Linked DNA regions of Callithrix jacchus. The protein of the gene in region 1 purifies or fractionates together with the protein of each later gene. This does not show direct contact. Links are inferred from orthologs where the notes say so. Each region holds a gene or a part of one and is shown on either strand. Other genes may lie near its edges.

Region 1 (7,540 bases):
CTGGTCGCTGTCTGCCTTCTCTTCCAATATGCCCTCGGTCTCCAGGCGTCTGGCCACCGCCTTTCTCCTGAACCCCTTAAGCCTCCAGGCAAACTTAGATCTCAGGGGACGGAGGGATGCGGGAGTTCCGGAGGTCTTAGGGGCGGTGGATGACCAGGAGCTGCAGGAACAAACTCTGCTCTCTGCGGGAAGAGCCATTTCGCAAACACTGCTGGTGCGCACGGAGTCATCACCGCCTGCGCCTCCGCTGCCAAAGGCACAGGAATTAAATTTGGAGAGGGGTCTGTGCGCCCTTGCAGCTGAGAGAGAGAGCATGGATCCTCAATCTCTAATCCCCTAGGACTCCTCGACTTCGGCCCTGGCCTCCTGGCCTGAGGAGGGCTGCGGAACGTCCTGGCGTCTCTCAAGAAGGCGGCTGACCCCAGACACCGTGCGCTCCCCGCCCTGCTTTTTGCGCAAAGCAGGCGTGATGGAGACCTGCAAGCCTTGGAGGGCCCTGAGCCGGAGAGGTTTAGGGGAGGTTGGATAAGAATTCCAAGCAGGCCCTATAATTCTCTACCTATCAAGAAAGCTTGAAAGAATCCCCAGAGACTTTCCTGTCATGGGAAGCTCGCCCTGCAAACCTTGTCCTTATCCATTAGCAGCTCAAGGCAGACCCCAGCTAGAGCGACATCCACTCCTATCTGAGATCCACCGCCAGATAAGAGTTACGCTGTGGGAGGCTCTTCAGGACTCTGGGAAACCAGAGCGGTGCCTTCATGGTCAGGGTTCCCTCCAGGGAGCTTAGCCAGGTCAGGAGACCCTAGATAAGCATGGTTTGGATTTTCTCTCCCAAATCAAAAAAGCTTTAAGTTAGTTATCTCCCAGTTTCTAATTCGCAGGTGAATAAATCAAGCAAGGCTGGGGTATGAGGCAGACGAGGAGGAGGAGGAAGAGAGGGTGAAGGAGGAGGAGGAAGAGGAGGAGGAGGAGGAAGGGCAGGAGAAGGATGAGGAGGATGAAGAGGAGGAGGAGGAATGGACACTGGCTCCCCTTGCCTGGAAAATGGACCATTACTCCTTTTCTAATCTGACCCCCAGACTCAGGACTTCTATTTTCTGCATTTGGGGTCTCTTGATTTGCCTTGAAAAACAAAAAGGTTTTCCCTCAAATCAAAGAGTGGTAGCTGGTGCAAGGGAAAATCTGGGACTAGGAGTCTTAAGATATGACTTCTATGAGGTCCAGATAGAACTTGCTGTGCGACCTTGAGAGAGTCACTCCCCCTCTCTGGGCCTTGACTTTTTCATCTTTAAAGAGGGCCTGGAATTCCTATTCCCATACAAGAAGACAAGTTCCTAGCAAGTGGTGACCTAAGAGAGGAGCTGCAGCAAATGTTAACCCAACAGTCCCAGGTGGTCCCTTTGTTGGTTCTGACCCTGGCCTCAGGCTGTATTTCCCCACAGAAAGGGAAGGAGCCTCTGCTCACAGAGCACCAGGTAAGACCGGCAGGACCTCGCCACACCCCCGCCCAGTCCTTGACCCCCCCTCTTGCTGATTCCTGGGCATATCACCCTCTTCCTTGGAGGAAAACTTGTCTCCCAAGCAGCCCGGGTGGTAAGAGGCTATCACTAGGGCAGGCTCATAGACCTACCTCTTCCCCTCACCTCACCCTTCAGCCCCGCAGTTGGGTCCTGTACCCGCCTGCAGTTTCCGGGAGACTCAGGGTATCTGGACCTGCTAGAAAACGAAGGCTTCATCGCCTAAGGACACTTAAACCGGGAGACTTCACCCCCAGCCTCGGCTTCTTCCTCCAGGCACGACCGGGTCAAGAGAGAGAAGCGGAAGCCGCAACCCCTCACCCTGAGTGACCGGAAGCAGAAGACCACGGGGTGTCCCAGGCGGGGACAAGAAGGAGGGGCTGGGGAAGAAAGGAGGGGTGATGCGTTCAGACTCACTTTGGAAAGATTTCCAGAGAGCGCTACCAGGGACAACCCGAGGGCCTTGGAGAGTTCCTGCCCTGTGCTCGCTGTGCGCTGCCTGAGTTTTTCCGAGGCAGGGGGCTGGAGCAGGTGACTGCTGGCAGCCGCTGTCTGTGATTGGACCAGAGGATGAAGGGGAGAAAAAGTTTATCTGCTTCCAGTGCCTGCACACCGTGGTGATTCAAAATACACAAGGGGGAGGGGTGCAGCGGCTCTGTTTCGCAGCACTTTGGGAGGTTGAAGTATAAGGAACACTTAAGCCCAGGAGTTCAAGACCAGCCTGGGCAACAAAGCAAGACGCCCGTCTCTATAAAAAATAAAGATAAAAAAAATTAGCCAGGCACAGTGATGCACACCTGTAGTATCAGCTATTCGGAAGGCTGAGGTGGGAGGATAGCTTGAGCCCAGGAGATCAAGGCTGCAGTGAGCCGTGATTGCACCACTGCAATCACACCTGAGCAACAGGAGACCCTGACACACACACACACACACACACACACACACACCTCACTTCCCAGAACTCCTCCTGTCACAGTTCCTAGCCAGAACGCTGGGATACTATCCACAAGTTGTAGTAATGGAATGTTCCCTTGAGGGTCCCCCACAGCCAGCCTCTGCCTCTGGAGTGGGATCTATGGGGGTGGGGTTCTAAGCACCTCTGGGGAGTGTGAGGTAGCATCTCAGGCTGTGGCAGAGGCTCCAACACCCCTAAAAGAAGGTCTGTGAATGGAAGGGACATAGGCTGGATCGCTCTCCGTGATGGCCCCTGTCTTCCCTTCTAAGTTGAAGAGAGGCAATTCTAAAGAGCACCAGGAGAACAGGGTGCTCTTTAAAATTCTTGGACCCTTCTCCAGGCTGCTAGTCAGGACGACGAGCTCCTGGTTGTCTCTGCCACTACCTTACTGTGAGATTTCGGACTAGTCATCTCCCTCACTGAGCCTAAATTTCCCCCGTGTCTAACGTGCGGGGATTGTACCGCGTTAAAGTCCCCTTCAGGACGGATGCCAAGGTAAGATAGCTAGGAGCAAAGCGGTCTGGAGTGGCCTGACGCGAGCCACACAAGGCTCTTCTCGCTGGGCGAGGCTCTTTGAGGAACCGAGAGTTGCTGGGACCCAGCCCGAGGCGAGAGAGCAAACAGAGCGGCGCTCCCCTCCCCCGACCTCGGCCCTTTGTCCAGAATCCAGCTGTGCCCTGCAGGGGAGGAGCAGGCTCGCGTGGCGCGGCCCCCGGGCCCTGGCGCTGATTGGCCGGTGGCGCGGGCAGCAGCCGGGCAGGCACGCTCCAGGCCCGGGCCGAGCAGATAAAGCGTGCCAAGGGGCACACGACTTGCTGCTCAGGAAACCCCGCGGTCTCAAGAGAGAGGGCGACAGAGTCCCGGGACCCCATTCGCTCTTTTCTTCTTTGGGGCTGGGGCAACTCCCAGTCAGGGGCGCCTGCAGCTCAGCTGAACTTGGTGACCAGAAGCCTGCTCAGCTCCCCACGGCCCTCGCTGCTCACCGCTCTCTATTATTTTGCACCGGTAGAAAGGTAACATTTGGAGGCCGCCAAGGGACGAGTCGGGGAAAGAGGGATCCTCTGACCCAGCGGGGGCTGGGAGGATGGCTCATTCTGTTTTTTCCCACCTAGCCTCGGAATCGGGGGCTGCGCCTGGTGACCAACGCAAGCTTACTCTTCCCTCTGACCCCGCCGCAGGATGGCGCCTCATCCCTCGGGTTCGCCCACTGTCCAAGTGACCGGTGAGACGGAGCGGCCCTTCCCCAAAGCCTTGGACAACGAAGTGACCTGCGCCACGTCCGCCCCGCCCAGCCCCACTCTCACGCGGGGGAACTGCGTGGAGGCGGAAGGCGGAGGCTGCAGAGGAGCCCCGAGGAAACTCCGGGCGCGGCGCGGGGGGCGCAGCCGTCCTAAGAGCGAGGTGGCACTGAGCAAGCAGCGACGGAGTCGGCGCAAGAAGGCCAACGACCGCGAACGCAATCGGATGCACAACCTCAACTCTGCGCTGGACGCACTGCGCGGCGTCCTGCCCACATTCCCAGACGACGCGAAGCTCACCAAGATCGAGACGCTGCGCTTCGCCCACAACTATATCTGGGCGCTGACTCAAACGCTGCGCATAGCAGACCACAGCTTCTACGCGCTGGAGTCGCCTGCGTCGCACTGCGGGGACCTGGGCAGCCCAGAAGGCAGTTCCCCCGGGGACTGGGGCTCCCTCTACTCTCCAGTCTCCCAGGCTGGCAGCCTGAGCCCCGCCGCGTCGCTGGAGGAGGGCCCCGGGGTTCGAGGGGCCACCTCTTCCGGCTGCTTGCGCCCAGGCACTATGGCTTTCTCAGATTTTCTGTGAAGGGACCTGCTGGTCTCTGGGCTGTGGGTACTAAGGGTAAAGGAGAGGGAGGGAGCCGGAGCCGTCGAGGGTGGGCGACGGCGGCGGCCCTCAAGAGCACTTGTTCCTTCTGCTTTTCCCTGGCTGACCCCTGGAGGACCCACGGGGGCCGCAGGCTGGGTTCATTCCCGGGCCCTCCGAGCCGCGCCAACTCACACAAACCTTGCTGCTGCCCGCGCGAAGTGGGCATTGCAAGCTTAGCTGATTTTAGGCCTCCTCCCTGCCACCACCCCAAAATCTCATTCAAAGTATACGAGAATGATAGCACTACCTGGCTGGAGCCGCCCACCGTCTCTGGTCGCCCTACCCGCGCTCGAGTCTGCCTGCCCCTCTGTCTCTTGCCACCCCTCCTCCAAAGTGATTCGATGTTTGGTCTCTTAGCGCTTGCTCCCCTTGCCCGGCTCCAAAGACGCTGCGGATCTTCTCCTCTACTCCCAATCAGGTCCGGGGTTTCAGAGCGTTTCACTCTGCCTTAAAGCCAAGAAGGCGATCCTCTGTCTTCTCCTCGTGCACTTTTCGGAGCCATTGCCCTCCCGGGGCGGAAGACCAGGCTGTGAACTGGGAAAGCGCTAGCCGGGCCAGGGAGCACCTCCCCAGCCTCCCTGCGAACTGCACCTGAAACGTGAGCGGCGCTGCAGGTGCCTGAAGCACCACGCATCTTTTTTTTTTTTTTTAATCGGTTTGTAAATTATATGATGTCTTTAGAAATGAATTTTGGTACAGTAAATTATATGGCCCCTCCCCCATTTTACATAATTGTATTTATTAATGAGATTTCACCGCAGGTAAAACTCTATATTTTGTATATTAGATTATTTAGGGATTGCTGGATGAGATTTTAAGCCAATAAAAAGAGGTGGGGACCTTCAAGAAGGCTCAGCAAGGTGACTCCATTGTGCCCCAGGAAGAGGAGTGTCACAGTCTCTGCAGCTGAGGAAGAGCACCTCTGTCCAAGCAAGGAGACAGATGACACTCTTTCTGGAGGTCTGGGCCAGAGGCAGGGCAGATTGCATTTGGAATGCTGGAAGTCTTCTGAGTAATTATTGATCCAGCCCCCCCTTTTTTTTTCTGGGGCAATGACTGCTTTAATTTCAAAGAGCAGTTTAAAAGAAAGACAAGCCTCCAACTAGGACTACTGACTCTCTTTGCCGGCCCCTTCCCCGGTTCCACCAGCCTAGCTCTAGAGCAACTGTTGGTTGCACTTGAGGGAGGCAGACAGTAATAACTCAATGGCAGAGTCGGAATCCTCGGAAACACAGCTGCCAGGCTGAGCGTCCTAGGAATTTTCCCAAGGTGCTTTGGGGCCTAGTACATCCCCGGAGCATATTTTACTCCCCAGGCACTGGGGTGGCTGTGTCTTGAACTCATGGAGCTGAGCAGCCAGGAGCAAAGAAAGTGGAGGGTCTGCTTGGAATCTCTGGCAATGCCCCCACCCTCATCACATAGAAGCCTTGATTGAAAACTTACCAAGAAACTGTTGAAGGTTTCCAGCCACACCATCTCTCTTACTGGTAAGGTGAAATAGGATTGGTCAGCATGGGGACTGAAATCAGTAGAGCACCCCTATATGACTTCAGGGACCCCTAGGACCTCAGAGAATATGGTCTACACTGTAAGGATCCACAGAATTCACCTGCAGCTTGGGAACAGGAAAGTGGAAGGCGGGCAACAATACCTGCTAGTTGAACTCCAGAGGCCTTCTTTAGTCAGCCAGGGATGTCCTGGGAAGAAGTGGGCCAACCCAGCTCCCAGGAGCTGGTGGAGAGGTTGCTTTTCCAGCATATTAGAGTGCAAAGGTGGTGTCTTCTCAGGGGTTAATGCCTCTTGCATCTCTCTTTTTCTCCTCTGCCCTACCCAATTCAAATTGAAATATTCCTCTTCTTTATCACAAATCTCTAAAGTTAGCTTGGAGGAGACTTGTCTCGTTATCAGGGCAGGATTTAGGGGCGGGAAGAGGGACACTGCAAACAAACGAATGAACGAAGGTGTTGTTTCATTTTGTGGCTTTAATCTGAGAGGAGGAGATTAATGGGTTATTGGTAACCTCTGCAATAGCCAACTTTCCACCTGGGGCACTGCCCAGGGACAGGTGTCAGCAGCTTGGGAGTTGCACAAACCAAGCAAACACCTGCGATTTGCTGGGCATTGGGGGGAGGAGGTGGGCAGACATAAAAATCAAAAAGGTCTCTCTGTCCTCGCAGAACAGCAGCAAGGATATAGACAAAATCAAAGCCCAAGAAATACTGGTGGTTGGGTGAGGTATGAGCCACAGAATGGACCATAATACTGTCACCTTGGGGCTGGCATGCTGGGGGCTTGCAGGAGGAGGTGGCATTTGAGCCAGGACTAAAGGTTTGAAGAGGAATTCTTCAAGTGGAAGGATCTTCTTCCTGTGTAAGGCTGTGTGAGGTAGTGTTCATCATCTAGGCAGGGGACTTCCTGGGTACAAACGAACCCTAGAAACTGGAGGAGCATTTGCTGAACTAACGTTCTCCAGGCGGCAACCGGGTGAGGTGTGTCCCACAGCCCAGTTCCTCTCCTGCTTTCGAGGTCGCTCATTAAGGAGCCATTAGTCACCCAACACACACAGACTGGTCCTCCGCCCCACAAATTAAAACACACTCGTACGGGTTAACCAACTCTGCTGCTGGGTCGCCACCTTGGGTCGGGGCGGATTAGACCTCCGGGGCTGTCAACCCCACTCTCCAAGTCTGGAGAAGGCGGAGGAGGTTTAGGGTTTGGTTGAATCACGGAGGCAAAGTTCAGGGTTCGGTGCTGGATGAGCTTCATCTAGGTGTGTAGAATCAGGCTAGGATGGGAAACCTCCATGCTTCTTTCCAAAGAACCCCTCAGCAAGAAGGGCTCGGAAACATTTCTAGGAGTGGCCTATCCCACTAGTTCTGCACCACTGCTCCCGCGCCTTCCACCTCCTGAGGGCCTTTTTGATCCAGGGGCTTTTAAAACCGCGCTACTAGCGGTCTCTGCCCGGAGCCCGCCTATGCTGCGTCAGCCAGCGCTTCTCCGCCGCGGAGCCTCTCCTTCAGTCTGAGATCGCCGCCCGCGCCCAAGCTCCCAGAAATTCCCAACAGTGTCCGAAACCCGGACAGGAAAGACCCTTGGGTCGAATGGCTCCTCCCTCGTCTTCTGCTTTTGTTTGAGCCCAAGACTGGCTTCCAGAAAAACAGCACATGAATCTTGCGCC
Region 2 (7,394 bases), on another chromosome or scaffold:
TTCTTTTCGGTCAGGGCCCCTCATCAGAGATGGTGGGGGTGGGTCAGGGGAGAAGGGTACATAGTGAGAACCCAGAGAGCATTGGCTTATGCCAGACACCACACCACATCTGGTCGTATATTCTTTATCTTTTTTGAGGGGTCGGGGGGCAGTTCAGGGAAGACTTGAAGACCTGCCGGACAAATTCTAAAAGAGCTAGTGCTGGAACACTTATTCTTGCATCTTAGTAATTTTCTGTGATATTTTTTCCTTCTTCATAGGGACTTGGGGACAATCTGGCTTTGCTGCTTTCTAACTGCTAGGCACCTCTCTCTAACCCTCATTGTCAGAAGGAATTAGGATCTCCACAGTCTCTTCCTGTTATGATATTCTGAGCAGAGAAAAGGCACTGACGGTTCCCCTTAGCTATTTGATATTCAAAAGCAAATCGTCTTTCCCCAGATGATGTTTTGCACTAGAAGAAGCCGAGATTTAGCTCTTTTATTGTGCTTACTTGGTCCAAATACATCTGTACAGTGTTTTGTCGTTTCTTCCTGAACGAATCATAGTTTATAAATGGGCCAAACTGCCCATGAGGCTCTTCAGAGCTCATGGACGGTCCATCTCTGGAAGCTGTGGCCTGGCGGAGCACCCCCATTCCAGGGTCTCATCTGTCCAGGGTTGTGTGTGTCCAGTCCAGCTCAGTCTTTATTTCCAACGCTAGCCATGGTCCTGTGCAGGCAAGCTCTCAGCTTGACTTGTTTAGGACTGTCTGCCAGAAATGGTTATATGTGGGTGAAATAAGATCTGACAGCTCCTGTATACCTTATCTTACTGAATTCTTAAACTTTGAACGAGTTCTTCCACTTACTGACTTGTTATCATTGCTGACTTTCTGAAAAGTTTTCCACAAAGGTTTTTTTTTTTTTTTTTTTTCAGTAGGGGTCTAGAATGTTTAGTCTGACTTGGTAAGAAAAAGTATTATATTTTTAATAAATCATTCATAGCACTGGTAAAAATAATTAGGGGTGGTCAGGCGCAGTGGCTCACACCTGTAATCCCAGAACTTTGGGAGGCCAATATTGGCAGATAACCTCATGCCTGTAATCCCAGCACTGGGATGGGAGGCTGAGGTGGGTGGATTGCTTGAGAAGTTTGAGACCAGCCTGGCCAACATGGCAAAACACTGTCTCTACTAAAAATACAAAACTTAGCTGGGCATGGTGGTAAACACCTGTAATCCCAGCTACCAGGGAGGCTGAGGTACAAGAATTGCTTGAACTTGGGAGGCAGAGTGTTCAGTGAGCCAAGATCACTCCACTGCACTCCAGCTTGACCCACAGTGCCATACTGCGTCTCAAAAAAAAAAAAACAACTTGGGGTAATTTATGTCCAGCTTAAGTATCTGAACAGCTTCCAGAAATGTATATTTTTTTTTCCTGAGAGGTAAAGGATATAAACAGCTTCTAAGTAGCTTTAATGTTTCTGTACAGAAATATGTTTATCACTGTAACATTGTGGTAGAGTTTTAATACAGTATTTAGTTTTTAAATACTTTTTTTAAAAAGTGAACTTTTAACATAGCTGCTCAGGGATTAAATCAGATTGGAAAACCCATCTGACTCCACATATTCCTACAAAGAAATAAATCGTTGTTTATATTGAGCTGCAGGGGATAGTACACTTTAAACTTAGGAAAGTTAAACGTTTCACAATAACACTGCAATATAATCCTCAGCTACTCTTTTTCCATTGGTAAAATCTCTGATGATGTGATACCTCTTTGCTTCTTGTAAATAGATGCACTCCACCCAGATTGCATGCCTCAGGTGTTTGCCTTCTAGTAATCATGGAGTGTGCAGCACCCAGAGTAACACATATTTTACTACAAGGGGCAGGACTGCAAACACCATGTCCTGGATAAAAACCCTAATGCTGCATTGCTGCCAGTTGCAAAGAGATGCCTGAATGGAAGCAAGTTTTGCACTGTGGGTAAAACTGATTATGTACTGTACTGTGATATATAAATCCTAAATCCAGCTACCAGGAACTGCCTGGAACTGTGGCCATGCATTTTTTTTTTTTTTTTAAAGACCAGTGTGATAATAGGCCATGCATCTAAGATAGCATTCCTTGGTAACTAGAGGGAGGAGGAAAAAAATCAAGTAGGTTCAGGCTTTTGTTTGTGTAGAAATAACTACAGAAAGCTCTTGTACATAATGCTCAAGTTTGCACCCGATGATCAAATCCATTAAAAACTAATCTTACATGATGTGTGTGGCTCGTTTTCTGAATCTCCTTTCCGTTATTCATTGAAAATTGTTTAGAAAATAGCTTTTCTTTTCTTATAAAGGTGTCCTGTGACTCAGGAGTGTTCAGAAGATATTAAGTGTTAGTCTTATCATGAGTTAGTAAGCCATACCTTCTTGGTAGCTTATATGTCCTGTGTATCCTGAGAAGGTGGGATTCTTGGTTCTTAATCTAAATCTGAACCCCCTCTTTGGGTTATATGAATTTACTTGAGCCTCTCACAGAACTCAGGGAAACACATTTACTGGTTTAATGTAAAGGATATGACCGAGGATGCGGATAAGGAGATGAGCTCCCCTCCCAGGGCTACAGCCCTCCAGGAACCTCCAAGTGTTTAGCTCTCAGAGGCTCTCCAAACCCTGTCCTCTTGGGTTTTTATGGAAGCTTCCAAACTTCAGCATCTCTTTCCCCAAGGTATAGGGTGGGACCTTCTCTGGGGAGGGACTTAAGACCCACAATCAGAAATGTGGGGGGAGATGAGAGTCCCGCTATGGGGCCTGTGAAAGGGGAGGAGGAGGGGAGAGAGATTCTATTCTCTGAGGCCTAACACACCCAACATTATCACAGAACACTGTAACAAGGGCTGTGAGAGTTAAGAGCCAGGAACTGTGGATGAAAACCTATACACACACACACACACACACACAGTGGATGAAAACCTATACACACACACACACACACACTGGATGAAAACCTATACACACACCGTGACACCACAGCCTCCCAGGAACTGTGGATGAAAACCTACACACACACACACACACTGGATGAAAACCTATACACACACCGTGACACCACAGCCTCCCAGGAACTATGGATGAAAACCTACACACACACACACACACACACACTGTAACACCACAGCCAGGAACTGTGGATGAAAACCTGTACACACACACACAGAAACACCACAGCCTCCTAGAGGAAAGTGACCGTGTAAGGGTCTGGTAAGAGCTGAGGGGAGACAAGAGTGCATTCCACGCAGCCCAAAAACGGTGTGGCTTGAGACCAGTAGATGGAAAATGTCTAAGCAGCCACCGAAGGGAATTAAACAGCTTCGGACAGCGGCCTCAGGCTAACGCAGCAAGAAAGCTCGCGGAAAAAATTCGAGGCTTCCCGGGCTATACCGGAGGTCTCCAGCAGAGGGCGCGATTCCTCCCACTGGCCTTAGGTCTTCAGAGCGCCGGCGCGGGAAGCGCTTCCTGACGGGGCGGGGCTTCCGGCAGCGGGCTAGGTCGCGGGGAGCCTAGAGTTGGGTAGTCCTTTGCGTCTGCACGTGTTCCTAGTCCTCTCCGCGATGCTGCCTCTGCTACGCTGCGTGCCCCGTGTACTGGGCTCCTCCGTTGCCGGCCTCCGCGCCGCGGCTCCCGCCTCGCCTGCTTCGCCATTCCGGCAGCTCCTGCAGCCGGCGCCCCAGCTCTGCGCCCGGCCCTTCGGGCTGCTCAGCGTGCGCGCAGGTTCCGAGCAGCGGCCGGGCCTCCTGCGGCCTCGCGGGCCCTGCGCCTGCGGCTGTGGCTGCGGCGCGCTGCACACCGAAGGTGAGGTTCATGCTCGTGGGCCAGGGCTGTTGTTGGGGTTTGCGGTCTACGAAAGAAAAACGTAGACCAGGAGTGGCGCCTGCAACCGACCTCCGAGATCTGGGACATTATTCCATTGATTGGCAACCAGCGGGTTAAACCCACGTGTGATCATATTTCCCCACCTCGCCTTTCCACAAGTTTCATTTTCTGTTGGAACGGGGTAGATAAATACTAGAGGGTACCTCTATCCTTAGCTTTAGTCTCTCAAAAGTGGACCTTTGGGAAAGCCCAAGGTCGTGATTGAAAATAGCATAGTTAAATCGTTTGGCAGTGGAAGAGGATGCCTGGAAGTTCTTCTGCTTTACAACAGAAGGTGGCAATGCGTTCGCTGTTGGACGTCCTTAGCTTCGCAATACTATTGTGTTATTTTTACAGATAAGGAAACTGAGGCTTCCAGAGTAAGCATAATAGCAGAGATTAGAAACAGGCCAGATTTCTGGCTACAATAACTTGGGTAATAATTTTATGTTTTAGACTAACTGGCTTCCCTTTTAATGTATCTGGATTTCTAGGAGACAAAGCTTTTGTTGATTTCCTGAGTGATGAAATTAAGGAGGAAAGAAAAATCCAGAAGCATAAAACCCTCCCTAAGATGTCTGGAGGTTGGGAGCTGGAACTGAATGGGACAGAAGCTAAATTAGTGCAGAAAGTTGCTGGGGAAACGTAAGTACTGGTCTGGGGATTCCAGGGCACCAACTCCATTACCCTGCAAGACCCGTCGTGGATCATCCCCAGAAGAGCCTTGAGTTCAGGTGTGGATTCTTTGATAAATGGTTTTCAAGCGAGTGAAGGATTCATTTGGACAAATTTATAAGTTCCAGATAGTTGATTCACTGAACACAAATTTGCTGTGGGCTGATTACTAAGGAGACAAAAATGAACACAAAAAAGTACTGGCAGAATCAGATTGATCTCTGGTTTACAGCGCCAGTAAAGTAGGACCCTGGTCTCTTAATGTCCAGAGTGGGTGAAAATGCAACATGTAACTTCTGTGTAACAGAATGGGGTTACACTGTAGTCAGGGCTGCCATCAGAGGTTGGGAGTTTGTGACCTAAGGCAGCTCTCCCACCTTCTAAGCTAACTGTTGAAGTGTTTACAATTTTTTTGCATTATAGTCATCCATAATCTTATTACACAGATAAACACTTAGTATCTTCCAGGTTTTTAAAATTGAATTATTTTATAATAGACCTTATGATGTATATATAACTTTTTTTTTTTGAGAGGAGTTTGGTTCCTGTTGCCCAGGCTGGAGTGCAATGGCATGATCTCAGCTCAATGCACCCTCTGCCTCCCAGGTTCAAGCGATTCTCCTGCCTCAGCCTCCTGAGTTAGTTGGGATTACAGGCATGCGCCACCACACCCAGCTAGTTTTGTATTTTTAGTAGAGACAGGGTTTTGCCACGTTGGTCAGAATGGTCTTGATCTCCTGACCTCATGATCCGCCCACCTTGGCCTCCCAAAGTGCTGGGATTACAGGTGTGAGCCACCTCACCCAGCCTTTAATTATTTTTTTAAGTGACAGCTTTAATGAGATTTAATTTATATACCATAAAATTTACCCATTTATTGAAGCTTATTAAATTGTTTCTTAGTCCTCATAAAATTATGCATCAGATACCACTAACTAATTCTAGAACATTATTGTCATCTCCAAAGAATACCATTAGCAGTCACTCCTGATTCCTCCATCTAGCCACTGCAGGCAATCACTAATCTACTTTCTCTATAGATTGCCTCTTTTGGTCATTTCATATAAACAGAGTCCTACAATATGCAGCTTTCTCCCTACCCCATGGAGTCTTGCTCTGTCATACAGGCTGGAGTGCAGTGGCAGGATCTCGGCTCACTGCAACCTCTGCCTCCTGGGTTCAAGCAATTCTCCTGCCTCCGCCTCCTGAGTAGCTGGGATTATAGGCGCATGCCTGGCTAATTTCTGTGTTGTAGTGTTGGCCAGGCTGGTCTTGAACTCCTGACCTCATGATCTACCTGCCTAGGTCTCCCAGAGTGCTCCAATTACAGGTGTGAGCCACGCTGCCCAGCCTATTTACCTTTTTAATTGTTGGGTTTTAAGAGTTCTTTAGTTTATTCTGGGTATAATTCTCTTATCACATTAATGATTTGCATGTATTACTTCCCATTTTGTGGGTTTTCTTTTCATTCTTGGTAATGTCCTCTGACACAAAAGTTATTTATTTTGATGAAGTTCATTTTAACCTGTTTTTTTTTTTTTGGGTCACTTGCGCTTTTTTACTTTTTACTTTGCTTTTGATTCACCAAGTGCAACTTGTGCTTTTTTAGTGTCACATCCAAGAAACCACTGCCTAATCCAAGGTTGTGAAGATTGATGCCTTATTTTTTTCAAAGCGTTTTCTAGTTTTAGCTCTTAGTTTAGGTCTCCGATCCATTTTGAGTATGGTGTAAAGTAAGGTCCTGATTCGCTTTGCCTATTGCATAGCGTGTTTTTTCCCATACACAGGTCAGTTGTGTCATCATTTAAAAACCATTTGCACAAGCTTTTCACAGCTATTTGAGGGCCATTAAAAATAACAGTGACGAACATCATTGCAGGAGCTCAGCTTGGTCAGCACAGTTAGAATTAAATAGATTTCTGTCAACTTCAGACTGCCACTGTTATTATGGAAAAGTGACTTCATGGCACAGCAGCTAGTTAGCACAAGTCGAGGGGGCAGCACTTAATGTATTCTTGAATAGTACCTGCCCAAGTTGCGTAGTCCAGCAGGTCTAGTTCTAAACCTCATGTTCTGAACCTCAGGAATTTTGACTCAAACTTTGGAATATGATTTGTCATGTGTGGATTCTTGCACCTTAAAATTGTCATTAGTTGGTTTTTCGGGCCTGCTTTGTGATGATAAAACTTCCCATAAGTACTCTGAAGAATGACTTTACTACAGCCTTTGTTCTTTGTGAGGCATCCCCACTCCTGGGGCCAGGATGCTCTCACCCTCCATTGCTCCTTCCTTTCCTTGCAGGGCAGATTTTCTGATGGGGAAGGCTCTTAAAGGGGCTTCTGGTCCATCTCACCAGCTTCTCAGGTCCCTACTTTTACCAAGCATTCCCTGGAAAGACCAGGGTGAGCAGGGTCTGCCAACTATGGACATGAGATGCCCAGTCAACACACGGTAGTGAGCCCTGGGATACTGGCCTGTTGGGAGTAACTCATGCATGATTTGTTTGGCTGAGATAAACTGAGGCCAGCTTTGGCTTCCAGCAGCTGTCACATGGTAGGCACACTTCAGACCTGCTGAGTCACTGGGGATTGGAGGTAGGCAGCCAACCTTGTTTGAAGTTCTGCATGAAACTCAGCCAGCCAGGATAGAGACATTGTTTCAATAGGCCTTTTTAACTGTAGCAGACCTCCATGTATATGTGTTAACCTACTCAGTTAAAACTCCGCCTTGTCTGTTGTCTCTTGCCCTTTTAGAATCACTGTCACTTTCAATATTAACAACAGCATCCCACCAACATTTGATGGTGAGGAGGAACCCTCGAAAGGGCAGAAG

The links. Proteins that work in one complex are often made in the same cells at the same time.
Region 2: the proteins of NEUROG3 (region 1) and C1QBP purify together in Homo sapiens (affinity purification with mass spectrometry; 3 studies listed by BioGRID and IntAct, counting the BioPlex papers as one, with this or other methods). This does not show direct contact. The link is inferred for Callithrix jacchus from reciprocal best matches to the Homo sapiens genes NEUROG3 and C1QBP.

Annotation. Positions count from the first base shown.
Region 1 is NC_133513.1:60,518,071-60,525,610, forward strand, and holds the start of NEUROG3 (neurogenin-3), read left to right. Parts: upstream 1-3,286; 5' UTR 3,287-3,651; coding exon 3,652-4,299; 3' UTR 4,300-7,540. UniProt on the Homo sapiens protein: Acts as a transcriptional regulator. Together with NKX2-2, initiates transcriptional activation of NEUROD1. Involved in neurogenesis. Also required for the specification of a common precursor of the 4 pancreatic endocrine cell types.
Region 2 is NC_133506.1:106,967,066-106,974,459, reverse strand, and holds the start of C1QBP (complement component 1 Q subcomponent-binding protein, mitochondrial), read left to right. Parts: upstream 1-3,493; 5' UTR 3,494-3,586; coding exon 3,587-3,827; intron 3,828-4,381; coding exon 4,382-4,532; intron 4,533-7,315; coding exon 7,316-7,394.